7 linked regions of the Sus scrofa genome follow. The protein of the gene in region 5 purifies or fractionates together with the protein of the main gene of each other region. This does not show direct contact. Links are inferred from orthologs where the notes say so. Each region holds a gene or a part of one and is shown on either strand. Other genes may lie near its edges.

Region 1 (4,136 bases), on a different chromosome or scaffold from region 5:
GTTCCTTTTTCTCCATACCCTCGCCAGCATTACTATTTGTAGATTTTTGGATAATGGCCATTCTGACCAGTGTGAGCTGATACCTGATTGTAGTTTTGATTTGCACTTCTCTCATTTCTCCTCTAAAGGCAACCCAAGCTGGCTCAGGGCACTAATGGGCTGTCTACTTCTAATGGTCCAGAGAGAGTCAACACTTCCCTACTCCTAATCGAAGCCACACCGCCCCACATTGATTTTCGAAAGTTCCCTTCTTTTTCTCTGAATCCTTACTCCCTCCAGTTCATTAAGTCTTTGTATGGTGAGAGGGCTTAAAAAAATTTTTTAGTCCAATATATAGTACTCTTCTTAACTTTGTGGTCCATGGTCTATGCCTTGAATCTTCATGTGCAAATTCAAACTTTTAAGGAAAAACAAAAACAAACAAAAAAACCAAAACATGTATCTTTTTGTCAAGTACCTGGCTTTTGCAAACGAGAAATAACTCCAGCTTTCTGACCATATTGCTTTTATTATAACTTTAACAATGGATTTTGAAATCCAGGCTCTATTTGCTCTCCCTGCAAGGCAATGAAGCCCCTGGGTGGAAGGCTACAAGACGAAAAGAAAAAAGTGAGAAAATTCTTGGTTTAAAATGTGCAAATATCATCCAGGTATGTAAGCACAGATTCTTTTACTTGCTCTTTCCCCCATGCCAAAGAATACATGAAAGGAAAACACCATGAAATTTCTCTAGTCTTTTAAATTGCCAGATTCCCACATATTTTCACCCCTCTAAAGCTTTAGGGAAATAGGAAAGAAGAGCAAAACTAGAAGCAAAATCCCAAGCTTCAACAGTTCTCTGTGCCTATGCCTTTTATGTCATTTCATTTGGCATGGCAGGAAAAGTGGGCACTATTGATTTCATTTACTAGCTGAATTTTGCTTATTCCAGTATGCATATAAATTACATGGCTTTTTCTTTCTTTTTGCTTGTTTGATTATTGTTTTTTGTTTGTTTGGTTGGTTTTTGTTTTTGTCTTTTTAGGGCGGCACCCAGGGCATATGTAAATTCCCAAGCTAGAGGTCTAATCAGAGCTACGGCTGCCAGCCACAGCCACGCCAGATCTGAGCCGTGTCTGCGACCTACACCAGTTCATGACAACTCCGAAAACTTAACCCACTCAGGGAGACCAGGGAGGGAACCCGCAACCTCATGGTTCCCAGTCGGATTCGTTAACCACTGAGCCATGACGGTAACTCCTATTCTAATTATTTTAAATTCAAAATCAACAAATATTTAGTGAAAGCAAATTTTATTATTTCGTAATTTATCATTATGTTATCACTTATCTTTTTATTAAATTTTATTAACCATAAAATACCCAAATGCCTAATATTATTGGAAATAATATTGGAAACAACAGGCAAGCCGGCAGTAATGATTTAAGTGTGGACACTCAAATATTTAAAAAATGCAAAAAAAAAAAAAAAAGAAAAAAGAAAGCTTTAAGAGGGGAAGATTTGAGGCGAAGAGACAAACGCACTTTCCCAAGTCGCCTCCTGACCATCGACCAGCGGGGCTACTGTTTGTTAATCTAAGGAGACACGACAGAGACTGCAGGTCCTTGGCGCAGCGTTTAAGTTACTGACTAAAACCCACCAGAGGGGAAGACGTACTGCCCGTGCTGAACTGCGTAAACCAAACCCAAGTCTGTAGGGCCAGGACTAGTTTTCAAAGACTGGGCTCCACAAGGCAACCCCGAACAGGATTAAATATTACCTTATTACCTTTATTATTAGTACAATTTAAGTTAATATGCGCCCGCACATTCCTGAATGCCCCGCGACCCGGACTGCCTCGGAAGGCCTCGCTTGTCTACACTTGTCTACAGAGCTGGAAGCCGTTTTCTGCATAATGGAAATTTGGAGCGAGTTTTGTTTACTCTGGCCCGCTCAAAATCGGCGTCTTACTGCCGAGACGCCCAGACCTCGCGTCCGGGCGGCGGCTAAAGTCCGGGAGGACGCGCCCCGCACGCGATAACTCGGCCCTCCCGGCGCGGGAGGGAGGCGGCCAGAGGGCGCGGCGTCACAAAGCCGACCGGAAACGAGGAGTCTTGGAGTCCAGACCGAGGGGGTCCCGGGCGACTCCACTGGCCGCGCGCCCTAGCGGGGCGGGAGGCGCACGCCCACCTCCCCTCGCCCCGCCTCCACTCCCCTCCCCTCCCCTGCGGCCGGGGCTGCAGCGCCGCGGCTGCTCGCGCGCCGCAAAGCGTCCTGGGAGAGCCGGATCACGCCGGAAGGACGCTTGGGCGCTCGGCGGCGGCGAGGTTATAAAAGGGAAGGAGCCGGCGGCGGGCGGAAGTGGGCGGTTCAGCTGCTCTCGGCTCTGTTGTTTGGTGTTTGGGCCTTCCGAGGGGCGTTCTCTGGATAGCCGCCGGTGCAGGCCTCAGTGACAGGGCCGCTCGCCCGCGCTCCCCGCCACCTTCTCGGTGCAGCATCCGCTCCTGGCCTCCGCGACCCTCAGGCCCAACATGGCGCAGGAGGTGTCGGAGTACCTGAGCCAGAACCCGCGGGTAGCCGCCTGGGTGGAGGCGCTGCGTTGCGACGGCGAGACCGACAAACACTGGCGCCACCGCCGGGAGTTCCTGCTCCGCAACGCCGGGGACCTGGCCCCCGCCGGCGGCGCTGCCTCCGCTCGTCCGGAGGAGGCCGCCGATGCGGAGAGCGGGACCCGAAATCGGCAGCTGCAGCAGCTTATCTCCTTTTCCATGGCTTGGGCCAACCACGTCTTCCTCGGGTGCCGGTGAGTGAGCAGGCTTCCCTGAGCAGCTCTCTTGGATTTGGCTTCTGCCCCGGCCTGGGGCCCGGAGCCCTAGGCGTGGAGGGGAAGCGGTGAAGCGCGGGAAGCTGCGGTGCCGTCTGCCCTCTAAGGGCGAGAAGGGCATCCCTCCCAGAAGCCGACATGATGAACCGTCTGGAGGTGCCCCCGTTGACTGGGGAGCTGCTGGTGGAGTTGCTGGCCTTGAGCTGACAAAGCTTTGAGGGGAGAGGGACGCTAAATTTAAACTAGGTTGGTAAGGATTGACCCCGCCTCCCAGACCCTGGCGCGTTTGTTTATGGGGTTCCAGGAAACAAAGTTCCTGGTGGTTGGGGCAGTTTCTTGATTACAACCAGGAAATGGCAGTTCCTGTGGCCTGTTTTTGTACCCCAGAGGTGGCAGCTTAGCAGAAACACTTTTTAAAGTGTCTCTCTCTCTCTCTCTTTTTTTTTTAACAGGTACCCTCAAAAAGTTATGGATAAAATTCTTAGTATGGCTGAAGGCATCAAAGTGACAGATGCTCCAATCCATACCACAAGAGACGAACTGGTTGCCAAGGTGAAGAAAAGAGGGATATCGAGTAGCAATGGTTAGCAGATCATAGATGTGAACATACATAGGAGTTTAGAACTTAAGTTTGATGTAATTAGGAATTACTGTTACTACTAATTTTTTAACGTTAGAATAACATTACATAATAAATAGAATAACAATTACATAATGCTATTAATCAAGTTGGAATGTTAAATTGTATGTGTGTTTTAGGCTCTGAATTTGATAGTTTCCTTTGTGTGAGATTGTAAAGTGTCGAGTGTTGTCTGTGCTGTTGATTTTTTAATATTAGAAATTGTTGATGTTATTCCCCACTGTTAAAAGAAATTAATGAATTTATTGTACACTTTTTAAACAATCTGCTAGTCCTGAAATATTTTCTCCTTGCACCTTTATTTTACTTGTGTGTGTGTGTGTGTTTTTAGGGCCGCACCCGTGACACATGGAGGTTCCCAGGCTAGGGGTTGAATGGGAACTACAACTGCCGACCACAGCCACAGCAACGCAGAATCTGACCTTTATCTGCGACCTACACCACAGCTCACAGCAACACTGGATCCTTAACCCACTGAGCAAGGCCAGGGATTGAACCTGAGTCTTCATGGATACTAGTCGGGTTGTTAACCACTGAGCCCTGATGGGAACTCCTTGTGCCTTTATTCTAATATGAGTACTTGTCTTGTAAATTTTTACCTGGTATGTGTGAGGTAAGGCTTAGTCACGTATCTTTTTCTTTTCAGAAGGGGTAGAAGAGCCAATGAAAAAACGAGCCATAGAAGGAAAAAGC
Region 2 (3,500 bases), on a different chromosome or scaffold from region 5:
AAGAGCATGTATCTGAAAAGATACAATGCAAATAAAGTCTTAGCCTACATAGCAAATTACCAGAGATTATGGGGATTTGTAGTAAGTAAAAAAAAAAGTTCACCTACATATAAAGATTTAACATTCTACCAAACTGCCTAGGAATTTTAGCATTTAGTATATAGGCATATGTGCTATATGCTCATATGTGATCATGAGCAGAAAACTTTGTTTGGAAGATCATCCCTTAAATACCAAGAACACTTTATTTAATAAACATTAAGTGTAGGGTTTATTACAGGTTAGGCTCCATTCTAAAAGGCTTTAGAAATGGTATCTAATTTAACTTAATCCTTAAAACCTTGTGAGGAAAGAGCTATTATCTTCCTCATTTTACAGAGGAGGAAATTAAGAGTATAGAATCCTCAAGTGGCAGAGCTGAGCCCAGGACCCAGGCAGCCCAATTCCTGAATCCCTGTTCTCCCAACCGCTTCCCTGGAGGTATTGCCTCAATCAGCACTATAAATACCAGCTCAAATGAAATGTAGCTAGGATGGTTTCTGTTGATTCTCTTTCTCAATTAAAAGTAATTTTAAATAATCAAATTCTGGATTAATTATTGTTGGCCTATCTTCCTCCTCCATTAATATAAATGGAGAAATGAGTGCAGATAGCTAAATAATTTCAAATTGAAACCAGAGGCTATTATTGAAAAAATTAACAAAGCGAAAAGAGACGTAAAATGGCTGGCCAGTGGATGTCCCCCCTTCCCACTTTGCCACACTTCGTGCAGATGTTGTCTTCCCAGGAAGCGTCAACATCAAAAGCCCAGTTAAGTAGATAAATTTACCTTGGATTTTCTCCATATCTGATTGCATTTTTTCTAAGGGGAGAAAAGAAGATATTCAGTTTGCATCCCACTGTTTGGCTGGAAAATACATCCTCTCGGGCAAACCCTGAGAGCATAAACCCATTTCCCTTCATGGACTTCTCTTCTCATATTACCTGTGAACTGCTTCAGACTCTCAGTCAAGAACAGACATTTCTGGGCAAAAATGTGGATCTTCTCTTGCAGATCTGGAGGTGTGATCCAGGGCTCAGGGATCCTGATTCTTTCAGCCCTAAGGTTAAAGAACAAGAATGAATCCCTTGCCAACCTTCAAACTTTTCAGGGTCCAGGACAAGTCCTGGGTTAAACTGGTCAGTACAGGTGGACAGTCTTTAAAAATAGCCACTACTGGTGGGATTGTAAATTGGTGCAGCCACTGTGGAAAAGAGTATGGAGATTCCTCAGAAAACTAAACATAGAACTACCATTTGATCCAGCAATCCCACTTCTGGGCATCTATCTAGAGAAAACCACGACTCGCAAAGACACGTGTACTCCAATGTTCACTGCAGCACTATTTGCAATAGCCAAGACATGGAAACAACCTAAATGTCCATCGACAGAGGAGTGGATCAAGAAGATGTGGTACATATACACAATGGAATATTACTCAGCCATTAAAAGGAATGAAATACCGGCATTTTTAGCAACACGGATGAACCTAGAAATTATCATGCTAAGTGAAGTCAGCCATACAGTGAGACACCAACATCAAATGCTTTCATTGACATGTGGACTCTGAAAAAAGGAGAGATTGAACTTCTTTGCAGAACAGAGGCTGACTCATAGACATTGAAAAACTTATGGTCTCCGGAGGAGACAGTTTGGGGGGTGGGGGGATGTGCTTGGGTTATGGGATGGAAATCCTGTGAAAGTAGATTGTTATGATCATTATACAATTACAGATGTGATAAATTCATTTGACTAATAAAAATATATATATTAAAAAATTAAAAATAAATAAAAACAAAAATAGCCACTACAGCCTTTTTGCTATTCTCCTCCTAGGCTATAATCCTCTGGGCCAGAATAGGAGAAACATCTTACTTTTTCATATCCCCTACAGCACTAGCTCATGGCTTTTCAAGTGGCAGGTCCCAAAAAGGTTTACTGAATTTAAACCTAATATAAGCCTGACTTTGCCAGAAAGCACCAGGTTCCAGGAAAAAGTCCTTGATATCTGTGGCAGGCAATGATTCAGAAGCCTCAGGTCCCCAAATAGGGTGAGAATGATATCTACAGAGACAGAGGGTCTCTGGACAGTACCCAGTTACCCATCACCCCCCTCAAGGGGGTTTATGACTGATTGCTAACTGCCCACCCAATATCCATTCATCTTCCAAATTTTACTAGGTTCATGCCTATCCAGTCTAGATGTGACCTTGTGACCTTTTCTGGCCAATAAGAAGTAAGAAGTACCTTGCGGTAATTTGAGAAGTCTGCTTCAAAAGGAATATGATTTGCATTATCTCTTTCATGCTGGTTGGTACTCTAGCAATTACCTTGGATGCCAAGAATAAGGACCATACCTTGGATGCCAATAATGAGGACCAAGGTGGCAGAAGTTTAATTGAAAAGAAACCGAGAGTCTGATGATCATGGCGCCACCAAACCAGCCCTGGGCTACCTACTTGCACATTTCTTTTTTTTGTTGTTTTGGGGTTTTTTTTGTTTGTTTTGTTTGTTTTACTTGCACATTTCTTTAATGGTGATATTTCCTGTTACATTTAAGCCTAAGTCAATGAAAATTAGAGTTTTCTATCTCAAAGGAAAACTTAACTTCCAAAAAATGCTAGCATCTAAAGGAACTATCTCCCTGTTAGTTCAGAACCACTCTGCTTTCAAAAAGTAAAAGCAGCAAGTGAATGCAGTATTTGTTGAGGTCACTTGGCAGGAACTGGTACAAATTCCAGCTCATGACCATCCCACCCTAGGAGCCCTAAAAAATTTCACTTCTACCACAATTCTATCCACAGAGTCCTCCCAACCAACCTACCCCATCTGTGATCTCCTCCCATAAGCATCTCAATGTTTCCACATAACCAAGCTGCATTTCCCCAGCAGGGCTTTCACCTTTCAGAGGGTATCAATCAGCTTCAAACTTCAGTTCCTCGGTCTCTACCCCAGTAGGCACTCCTGCACCAAACATCACATCCCCAAGGCCTAGCCCATTTGTCTTTGCCCTCCGACCCTGAAAACACATTTAATCTTGGCTTCTTGCCCATCTGGGCTTTCCCTGACTGGCCATGTCTCAGCTCCCAGGCTGCTCTTCCTCACTTTCTGCCTGATGATAACATTAGAGAAACAATGAGAACAAGAGCCAGGATCTAGGTAACTCATTACTCACTATATTAACTCTGAGCTGGTCATACTTTTCTTAGACCATATTTTCCCCATCACAGAAAAAAGAGAGGCAGAGAAAAAGAAAGACAGAGATAATGAAAGAGAAAAGATTCTGAAATGCTTAGGAAACAAGAACTATAAAATACCCTGCACTTTGCCCAAGTCCCTGTCACAGTCTCCATGGAGGTGTCCTCATTCACCAACAGCACCCTCCAAATAAGCCCCCAACTCTACCCTCTCACCCCTCAAATTTATCAATAATTCCTGAGTTTTACTGCGAAGGGCTGCA
Region 3 (3,500 bases), on a different chromosome or scaffold from region 5:
AAGCGCATGCCCACGGGAGCCTCCTATTCCCGGGGCTCTGCCATGAGGCCTTTGTCCCTTTTGTCATTGAACTCTGGGGGCACGTTGGTACCCGGGCCCAGCAGCCTGCCCTGTCCTGGGGCCCAGGGGCGCACCCCTGCCCCGAGAGGGCACCTCCTGCAGCCGGTGGCCCCGCACGCTTGTCTCTGGATGCTCCGTTCCCTCGTTGAGGCCTTGAGGTGCCCTCCCGAGGGCGAGTCCTGCACGCCTCCGGCCAACCGCCCTGTTCTGTGTCATGGCGGAGGAGCAGAAGCTAGGTTCTCCCTCGAGTGGATGTCGTCCTGTTAGGCCATCACCATCAGCCACTCTTCTCACCAAGGTCTCCCTGGAGATGTGGCACCTGTCACGGAGGGGACAGGGAGCTTGAGGCCGGCCCCACGGCCGCATGGGCTCGGGTGCCGTGCGTTAGCATCAAGCTGGGCCGGTAGTCACCCTGCACACCGACTGGCACACGAAGCACTCAGCGGCCGCTAGTGCTGTCACCCCCTTCTGATGAGGTCGCCAGTGCCAGGCCTCTCCGCCGGCTGGGCCTCCCGTTTAGGCCAGGGAACTCGTCGTGATAGAGAATTTGAGAGGGAACAGGGTTGGCCGTTCTGAGGCTTAGCCTCTCAGAGGTGGAGCTGACGCCGGGCCTTGGGAGCAACTCGAGGGCTTGCCGCCCGCACACCCTCAGTTGGGCACCTGCACAGCTAGGCGGGCGGCACATGGAAGTGGTTCTCCTCTTGTTTCAGCTCTCCCTCGGTTTGCTGGTGGCTGACTTTGGTGCCATGGTGAACAACCCACACCTGAGCGACATCCAGTTTCAGACGGACAGCGGCGAGGTGCTTTATGCCCACAAGTTCGTGCTTTATGCCCGATGCCCACTTCTCATGCAGCACGTGAGTGCGTGGCCCGACTGCCCCTCCCTCCCCTCCTCCCCTCTCCCCGCTCCCGCTCTCCCTCTCTCCCCCTGCCCCTTCTCTGCCTGGCCTCTCCCGTCCTACCGCCCCCTCAGCTCCCCTGATCTCAGCCTCCCCCGCCCCCCACTGCTTCTTTCTCTGCTGCCATCCAGGCCATGCCTCCATGGAGACGACATGCAGCTCTATGCGCAGATGGACCTCAGAATTGGGAGACATCAGATTTCTTGTTCCGCTGAATAAAACTGTTTCCCCCCAGAGTTGTTTCCTTACAACATTTGCATGATTGTAAAGTTTTTAAATCAGCCTCTCTAAGGCTGAGCTGCTGCAACATTTCTGTGCCATCTTTCATTTGACTTAAACATCACGTTGCAGGAATCCAGAAAACTGCTGTCAGTCTCATCAGAAAGGTCTCATGCCTTTGATGCATCTGTCAAGAGGGGACTCACTGGGTTCTGGAGCATCTGTCACTGATTTGATTTTGGAGACAGGTTTTGAGGCCTAACCTGCAGAATCTGCATCCTGCAAAATGGAGCAGCACAGGCGAACGCCCGTCCTGGCTCCCAGGTCATGGCTGTCCAGTCAGGACAACTTCTGCGTGTGTTTCTCCCTCAGGTAAACAGTGAAGGCTTCTTCGCCTCAGAAGATGGTGACGTGAGGGCCCAGCGTGTCCTGCTGAGTGACGTCAGCACTGAGGCCGCCTGCGTGTTCCTGCATTACCTCTACACCGCGGACGCCACCCTGCCCCCGTGGCTGGCCCCTGACCTGAGCTCTCTGGCCCACAGGTCTGGACTGTTCTTTCCGTTTATGGCTCTGACATTAACTGACAGGGATCCTCTGGTCGATGGCCCGTGGGAGGGTCAAGGCTGGCTCCTTCCTGTCCCTTCTGACGCCAAGTGTGGGCTTGGTGGTGACCTTGAACAGGGTGTACTCACTGGAAGTCTGGCCAGAGCAGGAGAGGCGAGTCCTGGCTTCAGCTTCCTGGGTGTGATGAGCGGGCGGTCCCAGCCTCAGCCCCCAAACGCTCTTGCTCCTGGGTGGTTTTGCCACCAGAGCTGAATAGCTGCCCCTTCCCAAGCCGCAGAAAGCGGAAGTGAGGAAATGCTTGGTCTAAGTCCCATGAATTTGCACCTGCCAGTTTGTCCACACCAGTATCTCAGGATGGGTGGCAGGTGGCTCAGCAGAGAAAAGGTGTTTCGACTCCTCTCGGGGCTTAAGGGCCTCTGGGGTGAAGCCGTGTTCATCCCTCAGGCACCTCCTTGGGCAGGAGGGGCTCAGCCTCTGGGGCCTCAGACGTACAATCAGACCCCAGATCCGTCGATCGGGTGGCAGGCTGGCCGCCCCGTCTGCTCAGTCACAGTGCTTTGGGGGTCCCGTCCCGCCGCATCTCTCCTGCCTGTGATCCTCCCCCAGCCACGCGGGGCCTGTGCAGCAGTTAGTCACCCTCCTTAAAGGCTCACAAGTCTGTTCCTAGAACTGAGTGGCCTGGGGCGTTGCTGGGCCTGAACACAGGCACCGTCTCTGTGGGGGAGCGGGCACCAGGCTGGGTGAGTCACGGTTGCCCTCCCCATGAGGACTCCGGCACCACCTCTGCGCAGGCGGGGTGACGTGTGCGTTTCCTGTTGCAGGTTTGGTGTGAGTGAGCTTGTCCACCTGTGCGAACAGGTGCCTGTGGGGCCGGACTCTGGGGGCGAACAGAGGAAGGAGCAGGAGGAAGGGGATTGTGAGAGCAGAGGGGAGACTTTCCGGGAACTCCTGCGGTCCATGTGGCGGGGCGAGGAGGGAGCAGAGGCTCTGTCGAAATCTGAGGGCTGCGAAGAAGACGACACAGAAGAGGTGAATGAGGAGGAGATGGAAGAAATCTATGAATTCGCAGCTACTCAGCGAACGCGGCTCCAAGCGGGGAAAGCTCCAGAGGTGGAGGAAGAAGCTGAGCAGCTGCAGGAGGAAGCCCCTGCTTCTGCGGGAATCCTTGGGAGCACTGAGGATAAAGAAGAGTCAGAAAGCGCAGAACAAATGGCTTCATCTGGGCAAGGAAGAGATGAGGCCCCAGCCCCACGGAAGAACGTGAGAGAGGCCACACGCCTGCCTCTCAGGGACCCGGCTGTGGGCAGGGAGGAGAGCGCGGAGGCCCCAGAGGAAGGCCTGGGCCATTCCCACTGCCCCGGCCCTGCCCAGGGCCAGGCAGACAGGGGGGACAGCACCCCTCTGTGCTCAGTCGATGCTGCTGCTGCTGCTGCTGCTGCTGCTGCTGAGCAGCCGTCTTCCTCCCCTCACGCCGACGGCCCTGAGCCATCCCGGAGGACGAGCGATCGCCAGGAGGGAGACGGCTCCGTCTGGGAACTGGGGGTGGACAGTTCCCATCCCCCTGCCCACCAGCAGGCACCCCCTTTGTGCTCACACTTCGTCCCGTCACAGCCCCCTCGGGGCAGGAGTCCCCATCGGCCACACCCTCTGCACACCAGTGCCCTGTGCCTGCCAGCACCCCAGCTCCTGGGCACACCTCCCAGGGCGCCCTCCTCGAGCTCACCACCCAAGACAAGCGGGGTCAGAAGCCTCCCCCCG
Region 4 (3,500 bases), on a different chromosome or scaffold from region 5:
GGCCCGGCAAATTGTTTCCACATCTCTTTCAGTCATACGTCGCTTGAAGCGTCCATGAGACAGAATATCTCGCCACCGTCCCCAACTAGAAAAAACAAAGAAAGAAATCACATTGATATTTTCCTGAGGACTTTCTAATTATGTGATACTCCCCAGTCCCTCAGAATCACATCTCCCAAAAGGTGGGAGAGAAAAAGATCTTGGGGAAACATGGTAATAGAATAAAGTTTTCCCCATTATCCCCTCTGTGACCCTAACTTCCAATCTGAAAAGGAAACAGGGTGTCTATCAGGATGGAGATGCACTATTTCTCATGGAAAGGTGGGTTCTTACCCATACACCAGGAGGTGCTTTTCCACCCGAAAGCAGTCAGTGCGCCCATAAGTATGATGACGGTCATGTCGGCGAGAGCGTGGTCGCTCATCATCTTCACTTTCCAAATCAGAGAATTCCACTAGGTCATCATCTTTCAGAGTGCTGAAGTGGCGGGTCTGTTTTCGTACTCTAGGTGTGTCAATCACCAAGTTATTCTATGCAGAGAACAGAAGGAGAAGTAACTCTCTTCACAATACACTCATGGGAGAGGAATTAGACAATCAGATTGAAATAGCTTTGGATGTAACATTTGTAGATACGCAGAGGTAGCTTTTTTTTGGGGGGGGGGGCATACAAAATAATCTACGGGAGGAACCTTGGAAACAAAATTAAGTGGCAGTTATCTAAGTGGTTTCCTGGGGCCTCCTATGTAGAAAGTTTTTACAATGGCCCTTGTATATACCATCATAAACCAAGGTCAGCACTGAAGAATCGGCGTAGGTATAAAGACTCCTGAAAGTAATGTGTTTTCTGCATACTTCCTCCCTAAAGGAAAAGGAAGCTCACCTTACTATTAAGTAGATCCATGTCCAGGTCAGCCTTCTTGGCCCATTTTTGCCAAAAGTTGGGGTCATCCAGAGAAATATCTGTTCTATTTTCCGAAGCAACAAAGCTTGCCTAGTGAGGAACAAAGAAACAGGAAAGTTGACTATAATACTTGTTTGAGTAATGTGAAATGCGTATATTTAAAATATATATTAAATTTCAGAGATTCCTCTCTATCTCTGCTTCTTTAGCCTCTAGCCCAACAAAACATACCTTGGCAAAGGTAGAACCCTTTCCTTCAGATTCAATGGTGATGGTAGTGGTTCGTCTTAGCAAGATCTGGTCAATGTCCTCTTCACAAAACTTGGAGCCCTCATCATCTTCCTCCATTATGGCTGCATACGCTCCTTTTCGTAAGAGATCTTCAATCTCCTTCTTGGAAAACTGCTGGATCTACAAAATCCCATAAAAAGATGAAGAGACTTCAAGGGACTATTATCTAAACCACCTCGGGATATTTTATTATATTTTAAGAATTAGTAATTGAGAACCCAAACAAGGAGTCAGGTTTCTATACAAAAATAGCTTTTGCCATCTTCTATCACTATGATCTGCTATAAATAAATGTATCTATAGATTAAAGACTCACTCCAGTAATGTTGCCATCCCGACCACTCATGGACTGAAGTACAGCTTTATCCAATCCCAACTTGAGGCTAGCCTTATCAAACATCTCTCTCTCATAAGAATTACGAGTGATGAGACGGTACACCTTCACAGCTTTGCTCTGCCCAATTCGATGACACCGTGCTTGGGCCTGGTTTTTAAAAGTGGAAGGAAGGGCAAAGATAACATAAAATTAGTCAGGGGGAGAAGAAGGATTCAAAATACCAATTTACATCTATTAAGCATCCATGAGATCAACTCAAAATCAAAGGTCAACTTCAAGATGAAATCACTGCTCCATCATGTAGATGAGGGGTCAGTAAACCCTGGTCACCTGTTTTAATTAAGCTTTGCTGGAACAGGGAGTTCCTGTCGTGGTTCAGCAGTTAACAAACCCAACTAGGCATCCTTGAGGACACGGTTCAATCCCTGGCTTTGATCAGTGGGTTAAAGAACCGGCATTGCCGTGGCTGTGGTGTAGGCCAGCAGCTATAGCTCTGATTGGACCCCTAGCCTGGGAACCTCCATATGCCGTGGGTGAGACCCTAAAAGACAAAATAAAAAAAGTTTTGCTGGAACATACTTCTATCCATTTATTTATATATTGTCTATGGCTGCTTCTGTGGTTCAAGGACATAGAGGAATAGTTACAACAGAGACTGTCTGGTCTGCAAATCCCGAAACATATACTATGTAGTCCTTTACAGAAAAAGTTTGGTGACCTACCTGACTAAATAATTCCATATTTCCTAAAAGACAAGTCTTTCTAAGAAATCCTGATCCTGTTGCAAAACCTCCCAGGTTAAGTAATTAATCCCTAAGACAATGATTTCCTTTACCTGCAGATCATTTTGTGGATTCCAGTCTGAATCAAAGATAATGCAAGTATCTGCAGCTGTGAGATTAATGCCAAGTCCACCGGCCCGGGTGCATAGCAAAAAGACAAATCGGTCTGAGTCAGGCTTACTAAAGCGATCAATAGCAGCCTGCCGAAGGTTGCCTCTAACTCGTCCATCAATACGCTCATATAAGTACCTGTATGGGAATCACAGGAAAAAAGTTTAACCAGCTAAGTAGAAAAAAAGAACAAAAGAGCAGACTGGGATCAATACCATTACCTCTACATCTCTAGTTCACCAAAAACCTTACCAGAAAGTTAAGAGTGACAGTCTTAACACTGCTTTTATCTTGGTCCTGATCAACTTTAACTAAACCCAAGCCTTCCTACTCTTTGCAGCCTTTTTTCTTTCTTTCTTTCTTTTTTTTTGGCCATGCCCAGAGCATGCAGAAGTTCCTGGGCCAGGGATCGAACCCGAGCCACAGCAGTAACAATGCTGGATCCTTAACCCATTCAGCCACCAGGGAACTCCTCTTGGCAGCTTTTTCATGAGTATATAATCAGCACAGGCGAGGAATGATTCTTTTCTCACCTCCTTTGGATAAGATAATCCTCTAGGATATCTAGGCAGCGTACCATCTGGGAGAAGATCAGAACCTTATGGCCACCAGCTTTAAGTTTGGGAAGTAACTTGTCAATAAGAACCAATTTGCCAGCTGAACGAACCATGGCCTGCAAGTGGAAGTCATGAGGTATGATATGGCAAGCTTCTCGAAATTCTGTTAGGATTTTTTCTTCTGCACCTGCCAAAAAAAAAAAAAAAAAAAAAAAAAATCGCACTTGATGGTGAGATCCAGGGAAACATATCAAGGCTGCAATTTAACTGAAACAAGGAAGCAAGGAAAAAAAAGGTAATCTGACTTGATATCAGTTATTTCTCACACACAGATCTTCAGCATCATCCCCTCAATTCTAAATCATCCCCAATTTTGTAAATACAAAATATTCCACGTTAAGTCAGGCTTAAGATTGTAACTGCGTAAAACATACAGATAAGGACTAGAATAGTAGGTGCAAATCACTACTACCACCCTACTGGCATCTAAAACCAAAACAGCAAAATGAAGTACCAGTG
Region 5 (4,099 bases):
ATTAACAAATTGTAGATTTGGCAGAATACATAAAGAATTCATACAGCTCAATGGTAAAAAAAAGACATAACCCAGTTTTAAAATGGTTAAAGAATCTGAATAGACTTTTTTTATGGAGGATATGTAGTTGGCAAATAAATATTTTAAAAGACATCTAGCCATCTAGACTGGCTAGAATCACAAGGTTGTTATACTTTTGATCTCATGTTAAGGTGCTATACACCTGAAACTAACACATTATTGTAAATCAACTATATATACTTCAATTAAAAAAAAGTTTCAATAGCAGGTATTGGTGAGGATATGGTTGGCAAACCTTGGTACACTTCTGTTGGGAATGTAAAATGGTGAAGCCATTTTGGAAAAGGTTTGGCAGTTCTTGAAATGATTAAACAATGTATATAAATTATATACCCAAGAGAAATGAAAACATTTCTGCATAAAAACTTGTCCACATGTATTTATGGAAGCACTATTTATAATAGCCAAAAAGTGGAAAGCATCCAAATGTCCATCATTTGATGAGTTGGTAAGTATAATAGAGTATGTATGTATGATGGGATAGTATTCAGCCAAAAAAGGGAATAAAGTACTAATATATGCTGCAACATAGTTGAGCTTTGAAAATATTATGCTAAGTGGAAGAAAGCCAGGCTCAAAAGATCACACATAATTCTATTCATATAAAATATCAAGAATAGGAGTGATCACTTTTGAGGTGGTGAAAATGTTAAAAAAATTAACTGTGGTGATGGTTGCACATAATTGTGAACATACTAATGGTACACTTTAATAAAGCTGTTGAAGTAATCATTTGACATTCCAGTGTGGGGGATCTGGGCACGTATATCTGTATGTTTAAAAAGCTGAAGTATTGGAGTTCCTGTCGTGGCTCAGCGGTAAACGAACCTGACCAGTATCCATGAGGATGCGGGTTCGGTCCCTGGCCTCGCTCAGTGGGTTAAGGATCCGGCATTGCGGTGAGCTGTGGTGTAGGTTGCAGACATGGCTCAGATCTGGAATTGTGGATGTGGTATAGGCCAGTGGCTACAGCTCCAGTTCGACCTCTAGCCTGGGAACCTATGGATCTGGTGTAGGTCACAGACATGGCTCAGATCCTGTGTTGCTTTGGCTGTGGTGTAGGCCAACAGCTGTATCTTTGATTCGACCCCTAGCCTGGGAACCTCCTTGTGCTGTGGGACAGAAAAAAAAAAAGAAAAAAGGCGAGCTATTAAAGTAACAGAGCTCTTTATGTTAAGCTAAGTTCTTCTGTTCCCTCCCTTTCTCTTATTTTTGTAGAAATCATGACTACCCCAGGAAAAGAGAACTTTCGCCTGAAAAGTTATAAAAATAAGTCCCTGAATCCTGATGAGATGCGCAGGAGAAGGGAGGAAGAAGGACTACAGTTACGTAAGCAGAAAAGAGAAGAGCAGGTAAGTCCTTTAACCTCATTAATTTCTCAGAACTAACATAATGTTCCATTTTAATCCTGACAGCAAACCTTTGTTTTAATTTTAATGATGTTTAATACATATGTGTGTGTATATATACATATATTACCTCCCCCCACTATAAAACCAAAAATCCTTTATTTTAGGTGTAGGAGAGTGTAGGTAATGAAAGGTAGGATATAAGAATGGAGAAATCTCTCAGGTTATTATGTTCCTAGTATAACCTCTGTTTAGTATTTTGGCCTGTTAAATTTTTCTAAAGTTACAACTTCTGTAAGGATTGTATATGTATATTAATGAATTCTCAAGTGGCCAATAAATTATTGCTTTTTATTCTGAATTTTAATTTGAAAGTTTATAAACATATACAAAAATATAGAGTAGATAATGAACCTCATAAACCCATCCTTTGGGTTGGGTTAAACCCATTATGAGGTTTAATTGTCAACAGTTTGCTGTATTTGATTCATGTGTCTATCTTTACTTTTTTTATTATGACGTATTTTAAACAAAATTTCAAGGACTAAGTCTTTTCACTCCTCAATTCTGTATAAAGACATTCAGGGCAAGGATTTTTGATCATTTTAAACCTGAGAACATCTACAAGTGATCCTAAGACTCACTCTCACTTGACCTTACTCTAAAAATACTCATAGAACAGGTGATCCATCACTTTTGGCAAAGAAATTTAAAAGATAGAATACTTAGGTGACTTTTTTTTCCTAAGACTTGAGCTTGGAAGGACCACTTGACCCCCATACTATAAAAGCTCTGTAAAAGGCATACCTGAGAAATAAGGTAATCTGATAAAAAATATTTTTTAGTGAGGTATTCTCGATATATACACTGTTGTTTTGAGTAGTTCACTAGATAATCCAGTTATGTGAAGTCCAAGAGTACATTACAACCTCAGTGTTTTGTTTAGGCTACAAATGTTTGAATCACTATGTCATTCTTACTGTTTGAGGGTAGGGACTGAGTTTGTAATATTGTAATACAGCTTGTATTAACTTCAGCAAATTAAGTTAGGAGTTTTTAACATTCTGCTTTATGATCTTTGAAAGCAACCACTTGCTCATAAAAGGATTAGTTTCTTTTGGTTTCTTGTTGCCTCTTTATTCCTCTATGTGTCTTATTTGAAGTGGAACCTTTTCTTTGGATGAGCGTTTATTTAGCTTCTGTTTTGGGGGTAAGTTTCAGAAATTACAACAGTACTGTTACATATTTATATTTGCATGTAAATATGAATACATGTATACACACCCAAGCACAAGTCTGAATATAACCAGTAGCCTATGACTTATATTTGGCATGAAGCCATTTGAAGATGTAGTAATGGCACTCTGCCATTAATAGTGTACATTTTATACTGTTTCTTTTTGGTGATGGGGATTTTGTGTTATTAGACTTCATTATAATATAAACAAAGTAAAATTTTCATATTCAGTTCCCTGAAGGCATGGTTTGTTTTTTTTTTTTTTTTTTTTTTTGTCTTTTTTTTTTTAGGGCTGCACCCACGGCATGTGGAAATTCCCAGGCTAGGGATCTAGTTGGAGCTGCAGCTGTTGGCCTGCACCACTGCCACAGCAATGCCAGATCTGAGCCATGTGTGCAAGCTAGACATGGCAAGTCCAGATCCTTAACCCACTGAGCGAGGCCAGGGATCAAACCCTCATCCTCATGGAAACTAGTCAGGTTTGTTACTGATGAGCCACAACTGGCACTTCTAAGGCAGATGCTTTATCAGGTGACAGGTATAGCCCCACTTATCTGACTAATAAAACACTGATAGTTGAAGTTCTGTCATCTTCATTGTATGTGATCTGAAACTGTGCTAGTGCTTTAAGATAGTTCTATGATAAGTTTCTGGAATATTGTTCTATTTAAAATCTTCCAAAAAAAAAAAAGGAGTTCCCGTTGTGGCACAACAGAAAGGAATCCGACTAGGAGCCACGAGGTTGTGGACTAGATCCCCGGCCTCGCTCAGTGGGTTAGGGATCCAGCGTTGCCATGAGCTGTGGTGTAGGTCACAGGTGGGGCTCGGATCTGGCATGGCTGTGGTGTAGGCTGGCAGCTGTAGCTCCAATTCGACCCCTAGCCTGGGAACCTCCATATGCTTCGGGTGTGGCCCTAAAAAGCAAAAAAAATAAAAACAAACCCAAAAACAAAAAACTTAATTTTGGGAGTTCCCGTCATGGCTCAGAGGAAATGAATCTGACTAGCATCCATGAGGATCCAGGTTCGATCCCTGGACTTGCTCATTGGGTTAAGGATCTGGCATTGCCTTGAGCTGTGGTGTAGGTCGCAGATGTGGCTCAGATCTGGAGTTCCTGTGAATGTGGTATGGGCCAGGGGCTACAGCTCCAATTCGACCTCTAGCCTGGGAACCTCCATGTGTCGCAGATGTGGCCCTAAAAAGACAAAAAATAAAAATAAATAAATAAAATCTTAATTTTGTTGTTTCATACATGCCATCTTATGTAGGGAGAACTCATAAAAACAAATCACGCTTCTTAATATCACATCAGTACTTGTTTCATGCCTAATTTGTAAAATAGTAAACATCAGTAAAATACAGATTCATTTAGGTACTGTTTATCTTCCCATAGTTGCTCTGTCATCTATCGGGAAAAATTACAGGCTTGGGC
Region 6 (3,500 bases), on a different chromosome or scaffold from region 5:
TAAATCTGCTAGGGCCAGAGCATTCGTGGGCATTGCGAGTTTGCAGGAGGCCTCATGCAGAACACCTCTCAGGATCATACCAGTCTTCAAAACCAGGTTCTGTGGGTGGCCCCCAAGCTGTCACGAGGAGGCCTGAGCCAAAGGGAACTCCCTCTCAGCAGCTTCCAGAGGCCCAGCCTAGGCTTATAGGATGAGAGTAGTTTTTCCTGTTCTGCCATGCATTCTGAAATCTTAGAAGAGCTTGGTTCAATTTTGAAAAGTTTTTTTTTTTCTTTCTTTCTTTTTAGGGCTGCACTTGTGGCATATGGAGGTTACCAGACTGGGGGCTTGAATGGGAACTGTAGCTGCCGGCCTATGCCACACCACAGCAGCATGGAATCTAAGCCAGTGGGCAGCCCACACCACAGCTCATGGCAATACCAGATCCTTAACCCACTGAGCGAGGTCAGGGCTCAAACCCAAACCCTCATGGATACTAGTCGGGGTTCATTCCTGCTGAGCCACAATGGGAACTCCTCGAAAAGTTTTGAGACCCACCTAGAGCTCATCTTTGAGGTGCTGGCCATAGGGCAGCATAAAGTCATTGGGCTTTAGTGTCTCTTTGGAGGCATACCCCGTTCAGCCGTGGCTGCTTTGAACGCGGGCCTCAGGAATTGGTTTTGAAGCTTTATATGTCTCTGGGCTACATGCCAAGAGTTCCTCAGGCTGCAATGGGTTGCCCCGTAGGAAGTTCTCCCATTGTCACCCTGAACCCAACACTTAGGCCAGCAGGCTTGAGGTCCTTGGGCTGGGTGGAGTCAGAGCAGTGCTCCTGGTCACTGCAGGGTCAAGGATGGATGTTTACAGCCCCCAGTGGCTCTCACTCAGCTCATACTGGGGATTGGGAGGGTGGCGCTGTTGGAATCACATGGTGGAATCAGAGTTGGAGGGTTAATGTGTTTTGATGCCCCACAGCCCTTTGTGCACAAGGTGGCCTCCCACAAGAGCGGGCTCATATCTATAACAGAAACTTCTCTTCCTCTCTCTTTTGTCCATTCAACCCTCGTTGTCCCCACCAAGACAGACTGCTGCCTCTTCCCAGCCTGAGGACTCCTGAATCTGTATTTCTAATCAGTTCCTGATAAGGGTCCAGAGCTAACTGCTGCCAGTCCTTTTTCTCTTGTTAGAAAGACAAAGGCACATAGAGTTGCCCCTGACTGTGCCCCAGTGAGGAGGGCATATGCCAAGCCAAGGAGTGGAGACGTTTCATTTTTCCCCAAGGTGGTCAAGGAGTAGTTCAGAGAGGGTCATTTAAGATAGGCTCAGAGTTCCCATCATGGCTCAGTGGTAACAAACCCGACTAGTATCCATGAGGATGTGGGATCAGTCCCTGGCCTTGCTCAGTGGGTTAAGGATCTGGCGTTGCCATGAGCTGTGGTGTAGGTAGCAGACACGATTCAGATCTGGCATTGCCGTGGCTATAGTGTAGGCCAGCAGCTACAGCTCCAGTTTGACCCCTAGCCTGGCAACTTCCATGTGCCTCAGGTGTGACCCTAAAAAAAAAAAAAAAAGACAAAAAATTATCCAAGATAGGCTCTGAGGTAGGTGTAGGAATTTGCCGGGCATTAGGAGGAGGTCACAGGTGTGACCCAAGCTGTCCCTACCATCAGCCACAGGCACCCCCCCCACCTCAATTCTTTTGCTGCTCTTCATTGACAGGAGAGTAACAACATGGTGGTGCCCGCCATGCAACTGGCCAGCAAGATCCCAGACATGTCAGTGCAGCTGTGGTCATCAGCCTTGCTAAGAGGTGAGTAAGAAATCAGGGCTTCTGGGCTTAGAAGATGCTGGTTAAGCCCTTCTCAGCCTCTGCTTTAGACTAGGCCTCTGCAGACCATAATCCCAGTTCTGGCACATTCTCAGTCTTCTCAGAAGACCCTGTTTGAGGGCAGTGGGCTCATTCATGTAGTGAGATCAACACAGAGTCCGATTCTGTCTCTGGGACTCCTGATGCTTGGCCTCAGTTTCTTTCCCATGAATGGGAATGGCAGTCAGCCTTTTCAGGCAGGACCAGCCAGGGTGCTGTGGGCACCGGAAGGGCACTCAGCAGGTGTCAGTGGTGTTACTTCTACTCTCCCATTTACAGATTTTGAAACTGATGTCCATAGACTCACCCAGGGCCCTGGGGAGGAGGTAGAGCACATACTGCTCCCAACTGCGATGGACTTTGTACATCTGTTCAGTCTTTCTGCCTCAGTGAGATGCCCTGTTCCCAGTGAGCTCCTGGGTGCCCTGACTGGGCCAGCATCCACAGAGAGCCCCAAGGGCTCTCACTTCCCTACCAGCCCTTCTCTCAGCCCCTGTGGGCCTTGCTGCTCATTCACCTTCAAGGATATGGAACGTGTGTGAGGGCTTCTGGCAAGTGGGCTTTGCTGACCCTGAAATAGGGCTCAGGGCAAGTGATGTGCTAGGCACACAGGAACCCACTGGTGGAGCTGGGGTGTGACTTTAGGGCTCCACCCACACCCGAGGGGAGGGTCTGGGGGCAGTGGCAGGCCAAAGCAGGCCCATCCTGTGCACGTATGCCACCTTCAGACCTGAACAAGGCCTGCGGGAATGCCATGGATGCCCATGAAGCCGCCCAGATGCACCAGAACTTCTCACAGCAGCTGCTCCAGGACCACATTGAAGCCTGCAGCCTCCCCGAACACAACCTCATCACGGTACGAGCACAGAGTGGGGAGGACAAAACAAGGGTGCTGGTTTGCTCCTCGGGGCCAGCTCACCTGGCCTATAGTGTTCCCCAGTGCCCTGGCAGGGAGAGCATGCTTCCTGAGGAGGGAAGTGCACACTTGGCTGCCCTCTCCTTGTACCTCTCCAACAGTCCCTAACTCAGCCTAGCCTCAGGAGCCTCCTTGGATGGGCAGGATGGCACCTGTCACCCAAGCGGGTGATGTAGGCTGCTTCCTGGAGGCCCATCTGATTCGGGGTGGAAGATGGAGGGCCCTGGCTGGTGACTAACCTGAAGAGGGCAGCATTCCAGGCGCAGGAGTGCAGCCCAGCACACTCCTGCTCCTCTCTAGGAAGGACCTCACTTGTGTGTCCTTTCCCCCTGCAGTGGACAGACGGCCCGCCTCCTTTGCAGTTCCAAGCTCAGAATGGACCCAATACCAGCCTGGCCAGCCTCTTGTGAGGCCCCTGGAAGGGGCCACTCAGCTTCTCGGGGCTCCATGGGGCCTGGTGTGTTCCCGACTTGCACCGAGACGGCACTTGAGCTTTCCTTGGAGGTGTGCTGGTGTGGCCGTCCCCAGGCTTCTTTCCCAACTGTCTCCAGAGCTTCCAAGTCCCTGGGGAGTGTGGAGGGCTGATTCTCATCCTCCCAGGAAAGGCCGGCTGGCCATTCTTGCCGAGTACCAGGAGCCTGTGTGCTGAGGCTTGCATGTGGGATGTTGGAGCCGACTTTCCAGAGCCATCCTTCAAAATGGACTTGAACTGCCAGTCCTACTTCCACGTCTGAGTCA
Region 7 (3,500 bases), on a different chromosome or scaffold from region 5:
TATGGAATCTTATCCATACAGTACCACGAATTTTTCACCCTTTAGTAATTAAAAAAACCCAAAAGATTCACGGCAGGTTATCACATTATAAATTCTTAACATCTAGGAGTTCCCATTGTGGCTTAGCGGAAACAAACCCCACTAGCATCCATGAGGATTCAGATTCCATCCCTGGCCTCACTTGGTGGGTTGAGGATCTGAAGTTGCCATGAGCTGTGGTGTAGGCCGGCAGCTGCAGCTCTGATTCGACCCTTAGCCTGGGAACTTCCACATGCTGCACCTATAGCAAAAAAACTTAATATCTAAAAATTAGGTCAGCTGGCTTAATGGTGGGTTCTCATGACATCTGTATTTTAGTTAAATGATCCATTCTGGTAAGATTAAAACTAAGGTATCTAAAAATACTCTGAATGAGCCAGATATTTTCTTTAAGCCCTTTTAATTAGTGTCCATAGGATTTCATTGAAGAATAGATATACTATGTATGAAAATTCACTTGTACCTATTTTAAATATTCTTTAGGTGCGGCGGGATTGGTACGTGTATGCCTTTCTGTCGTCCTTACCCTGGGTTGGAAAGGAGTTGTATGAAAAGAAAGATGCCGAGATGGACCGCATCTTTGCCAACACTGAAAGCTATCTCAAGTAAGAACACAGCAGCATGATAGTGGTTTTGTGTCCCCTTAAGTTTTTTCAGAATAATTTGATTGCAAGTTTCATTTTCTGTTAATAGATACTTCTTTGGGTATTGTTAATATCTACTTAGTTATAAATAAAGCTAAAGTAAGTCTAAAGTTAAAAATGTGCTTTCTCATTACATTGTTAACTTTAAATGATTTTTTCAATGTTTTATATTTTTTTAAATTTTACTTTTTTAGGAGTTCCCGTTGTGGCTCAGTGGTTTAAGAACCCAACTAGTATCCATGAGAATGCGGGTTCAATACCTGGCCTTGTTCAGTGGGTTAAGGATCTGGCATTGCCATGAGCTATAGCGTAGGTCACAGATAGAGCTCAGATCCCACGTTGCTGTGGCGTAGGCTGGCAGCTGTAGCTTTGATTCAACCCCTAGCCTGGGAACTTCCATATGCCACAGGTGCAGCCTTTAAAAAAAAAGTTTTACTTTTTAAAAATAATATCTAGATGTTTGCAAAAGAATGAAAATAAGAGTATGAATATCCTAATGTTTGAAGAAGTCCTTCCCCCTTTTTATACAAATGATATGGTGTACACACTTGCTTTTTTTCTTCTGTACACATTTGGTACTCCCCCACACCAGTGTAGTTTGGATTTGTCGCATAAAAGTATATAGTTCTACCTCCTTCTTTTTAACAGCTGTATAGTATTACACTCCCCCCCCCCCCGCCTTTTTTCCTTTCTATGACCACACCTGCTTCTCATGGAAGTTCCCAGGGTAGGGGTCAGATCAGAGCTGCAGTTGCAGACCTAAGCCACAGCCAAATCGGATCCAAGCCACATTTGCAACCTACACCTCGCTTGTGGCAACGCTGGATCCTTAACCCACTGAGCAAGGCTGGGGATTGAACCCATATTCTCATGGATACTATGTCAGATTCTTAACCTGCTGAGCCACAACAGGAACTCCAGTATTCCCCTCTTTTAATGTACCATAATTTCTTTAACTTGTCTCCTGTTGGTAGACTTTGGGGCCTATGCAAGTCTTTCCTTATTGTAAACAGTGTTTTCAGTGAGTATCCTTGTACCTGTGTCTTTGTGCACATATGTTTGTGGGGCATGTGTGTTGTTAGAAATGGCATTGCTGGGTTGAAGTGTCTTAACTATATTAATGTTGATAGATGTAGTCAAATTGCCTTCCAAAGAGATTAGACTCTTCCACATCTCTTCTAAGAGATTATATCAATTATCCCTCTACCAGCAATGTTTTTGAGTTTTTGAAACTTTGTATTTGCCTACATTTTGGCAATATAATACATTATCAAAGATTCTGATATCTGCCAATCTGATAGGTTAAAGTGTTTCACTCCTTTAATTTGAATTTTATTAATTGTGAAAACAACTGAACATCTTTTCATGTTTTTAAAAACCTAAATGTAGATTTTCATTTTTATCTTTAGAAGACGCCAAAAGACTCATGTGCCCATGTTACAGGTATGGACTGCTGAGAAACCACATCCACAAGAAGAGGTAAATTGTTTTCAGTTTCTTATGATACAAGCACAGTTGGAGTAGATTCTAATATCTGTGACATGTTCGAGTCCTTCCACTTGTGAAACCTTGGCTACGTTTTCACATTTCATATCAAGGGTTCAGCTCCTCATAGCCATATGCAGATAGTGGATTTTTAATAAATCTAGAATGTCATTAACAGTCCCTATTCTGGGGATTCCAGATATCATAGAATTGATGTATTTTTTGTTAGAATGCCCAATTTGAAAAAATAAGTGTAACAGCCCCAGTCTTTACAAAGTAATTGAAGTAAAAACAGAAACTTAGGAGTTCCCTTCATGGTGCAGTGGAAACAAATCCGACTAGGAACCTTGAGGTTGTGAGTTCGATCCCTGGCCTTGCTCAGTGGGTTAAGGATCCATCGTTGCCGTGAGCTGTGGTGTAGGTCACAGACGCGGCTCAGATCCTGCATTTCCGTGGCTGTGGTGTAGGCTGGCAGCTACAGCTCCCATTGGACTGTTAGCCTGGGAACCTCCATATGTTGCAGGTGCGGCCCTAAAAAGCCAAAAAAAAAACCACAGAAACTTAGCACTGTTTCTTTGTACTATGTTTAACTGTAAGTTAGCTTCCTTTTGTTTCCTGTATTTTAGAAAATAGTTGATTTTTGGTTTTGTCTAGTCAAAATATGATTTCATCTAGCCTTCAAATATCTATTAATTATTAAAAATAATCTGTCTTTAGTATTTAGATTGCCTGTGGGCCCAGATTCAGAAATTGAAAAAGGATCGCTGGCAGGAGCGACACATCCTAAGACCTTATCTTGCCTTTGACAGCATTCTGTGTGAAGCACTGCAGCACAACCTGCCTCCTTTCACTCCACCTCCTCACACTGAAGACTCCGTGTACCCGATGCCAAGGGTCATCTTCAGGATGTTTGATTACACAGACGATCCTGAGGTACATACATGACCAGCAGAAGTACCTCTCAAAGGGCCTGTGTTGTTTGTACTTGTGGTTTAATCTTGTTTGAATTATGCTGGTTGGACATTTTAATTTTGAGTTGTTTATTATCTAAGAGAGTCAGTGGCAGTGAAGTTAACAGTCTAATTTTGTGAATGGTGTTACCTCATTATGTAAGAAATCATATTTATCCTGTGTAAATTAAGAGACAGCACAGCATGTAATTGAAGAGTGTAGGTTTGAGAGCCAGATTGGTTTGGGTTTTAATCCTGATTTAGTCAGATCCTAGCTGTGTCATCTTGGGTGAATTATTTGCCTCTCTAGCCTTACTTTCCTAAAGAAATAATAATAGCATAAAGTTGTAATGAGGATTAAATTATTAACACACACAAAATG

What was found.
Region 1: the proteins of KPNA1 (region 5) and CDKN2AIP purify together in Homo sapiens (co-immunoprecipitation; 4 studies listed by BioGRID and IntAct, with this or other methods). This does not show direct contact. The link is inferred for Sus scrofa from reciprocal best matches to the Homo sapiens genes KPNA1 and CDKN2AIP.
Region 2: the proteins of KPNA1 (region 5) and TRIM27 purify together in Homo sapiens (co-immunoprecipitation; 3 studies listed by BioGRID and IntAct, with this or other methods). This does not show direct contact. The link is inferred for Sus scrofa from reciprocal best matches to the Homo sapiens genes KPNA1 and TRIM27.
Region 3: the proteins of KPNA1 (region 5) and SLX4 purify together in Homo sapiens (co-immunoprecipitation; 3 studies listed by BioGRID and IntAct, with this or other methods). This does not show direct contact. The link is inferred for Sus scrofa from reciprocal best matches to the Homo sapiens genes KPNA1 and SLX4.
Region 4: the proteins of KPNA1 (region 5) and CHD8 purify together in Homo sapiens (affinity purification with mass spectrometry; 6 studies listed by BioGRID and IntAct, with this or other methods). This does not show direct contact. The link is inferred for Sus scrofa from reciprocal best matches to the Homo sapiens genes KPNA1 and CHD8.
Region 6: the proteins of KPNA1 (region 5) and MAU2 purify together in Homo sapiens (affinity purification with mass spectrometry; 3 studies listed by BioGRID and IntAct, with this or other methods). This does not show direct contact. The link is inferred for Sus scrofa from reciprocal best matches to the Homo sapiens genes KPNA1 and MAU2.
Region 7: the proteins of KPNA1 (region 5) and NCBP1 purify together in Homo sapiens (co-immunoprecipitation; 3 studies listed by BioGRID and IntAct, with this or other methods). This does not show direct contact. The link is inferred for Sus scrofa from reciprocal best matches to the Homo sapiens genes KPNA1 and NCBP1.

The regions. Positions count from the first base shown.
Region 1 is NC_010457.5:44,884,286-44,888,421, forward strand, and holds the start of CDKN2AIP (CDKN2A-interacting protein), read left to right. Parts: upstream 1-1,336; 5' UTR 1,337-2,510; coding exon 2,511-2,782; intron 2,783-3,255; coding exon 3,256-3,386; intron 3,387-4,089; coding exon 4,090-4,136. UniProt on the Homo sapiens protein: Regulates DNA damage response in a dose-dependent manner through a number of signaling pathways involved in cell proliferation, apoptosis and senescence.
Region 2 is NW_018084804.1:149,269-152,768, reverse strand, and holds part of TRIM27 (zinc finger protein RFP), read right to left. Parts: intron 1,101-3,500; coding exon 985-1,100; intron 863-984; coding exon 830-862; intron 1-829. UniProt on the Homo sapiens protein: E3 ubiquitin-protein ligase that mediates ubiquitination of various substrates and thereby plays a role in diffent processes including proliferation, innate immunity, apoptosis, immune response or autophagy.
Region 3 is NC_010445.4:38,660,404-38,663,903, forward strand, and holds part of SLX4 (structure-specific endonuclease subunit SLX4), read left to right. Parts: intron 1-770; coding exon 771-917; intron 918-1,550; coding exon 1,551-1,720; intron 1,721-2,563; coding exon 2,564-3,500. UniProt on the Homo sapiens protein: Regulatory subunit that interacts with and increases the activity of different structure-specific endonucleases.
Region 4 is NC_010449.5:77,764,476-77,767,975, reverse strand, and holds part of CHD8 (chromodomain-helicase-DNA-binding protein 8), read right to left. Parts: intron 3,169-3,500; coding exon 2,958-3,168; intron 2,563-2,957; coding exon 2,367-2,562; intron 1,679-2,366; coding exon 1,511-1,678; intron 1,315-1,510; coding exon 1,135-1,314; intron 994-1,134; coding exon 883-993; intron 531-882; coding exon 334-530; intron 86-333; coding exon 1-85. UniProt on the Homo sapiens protein: ATP-dependent chromatin-remodeling factor, it slides nucleosomes along DNA; nucleosome sliding requires ATP. Acts as a transcription repressor by remodeling chromatin structure and recruiting histone H1 to target genes.
Region 5 is NC_010455.5:138,043,784-138,047,882, forward strand, and holds the start of KPNA1 (importin subunit alpha-5), read left to right. Parts: upstream 1-1,299; 5' UTR 1,300-1,304; coding exon 1,305-1,433; intron 1,434-4,099. UniProt on the Homo sapiens protein: Functions in nuclear protein import as an adapter protein for nuclear receptor KPNB1. Binds specifically and directly to substrates containing either a simple or bipartite NLS motif.
Region 6 is NC_010444.4:58,539,749-58,543,248, reverse strand, and holds part of MAU2 (MAU2 chromatid cohesion factor homolog), read left to right. Parts: intron 1-1,698; coding exon 1,699-1,789; intron 1,790-2,574; coding exon 2,575-2,702; intron 2,703-3,097; coding exon 3,098-3,172; 3' UTR 3,173-3,500. UniProt on the Homo sapiens protein: Plays an important role in the loading of the cohesin complex on to DNA. Forms a heterodimeric complex (also known as cohesin loading complex) with NIPBL/SCC2 which mediates the loading of the cohesin complex onto chromatin.
Region 7 is NC_010443.5:239,506,073-239,509,572, forward strand, and holds part of NCBP1 (nuclear cap-binding protein subunit 1), read left to right. Parts: intron 1-522; coding exon 523-644; intron 645-2,092; coding exon 2,093-2,162; intron 2,163-2,885; coding exon 2,886-3,101; intron 3,102-3,500. UniProt on the Homo sapiens protein: Component of the cap-binding complex (CBC), which binds cotranscriptionally to the 5'-cap of pre-mRNAs and is involved in various processes such as pre-mRNA splicing, translation regulation, nonsense-mediated mRNA decay, RNA-mediated gene silencing (RNAi) by microRNAs (miRNAs) and mRNA export.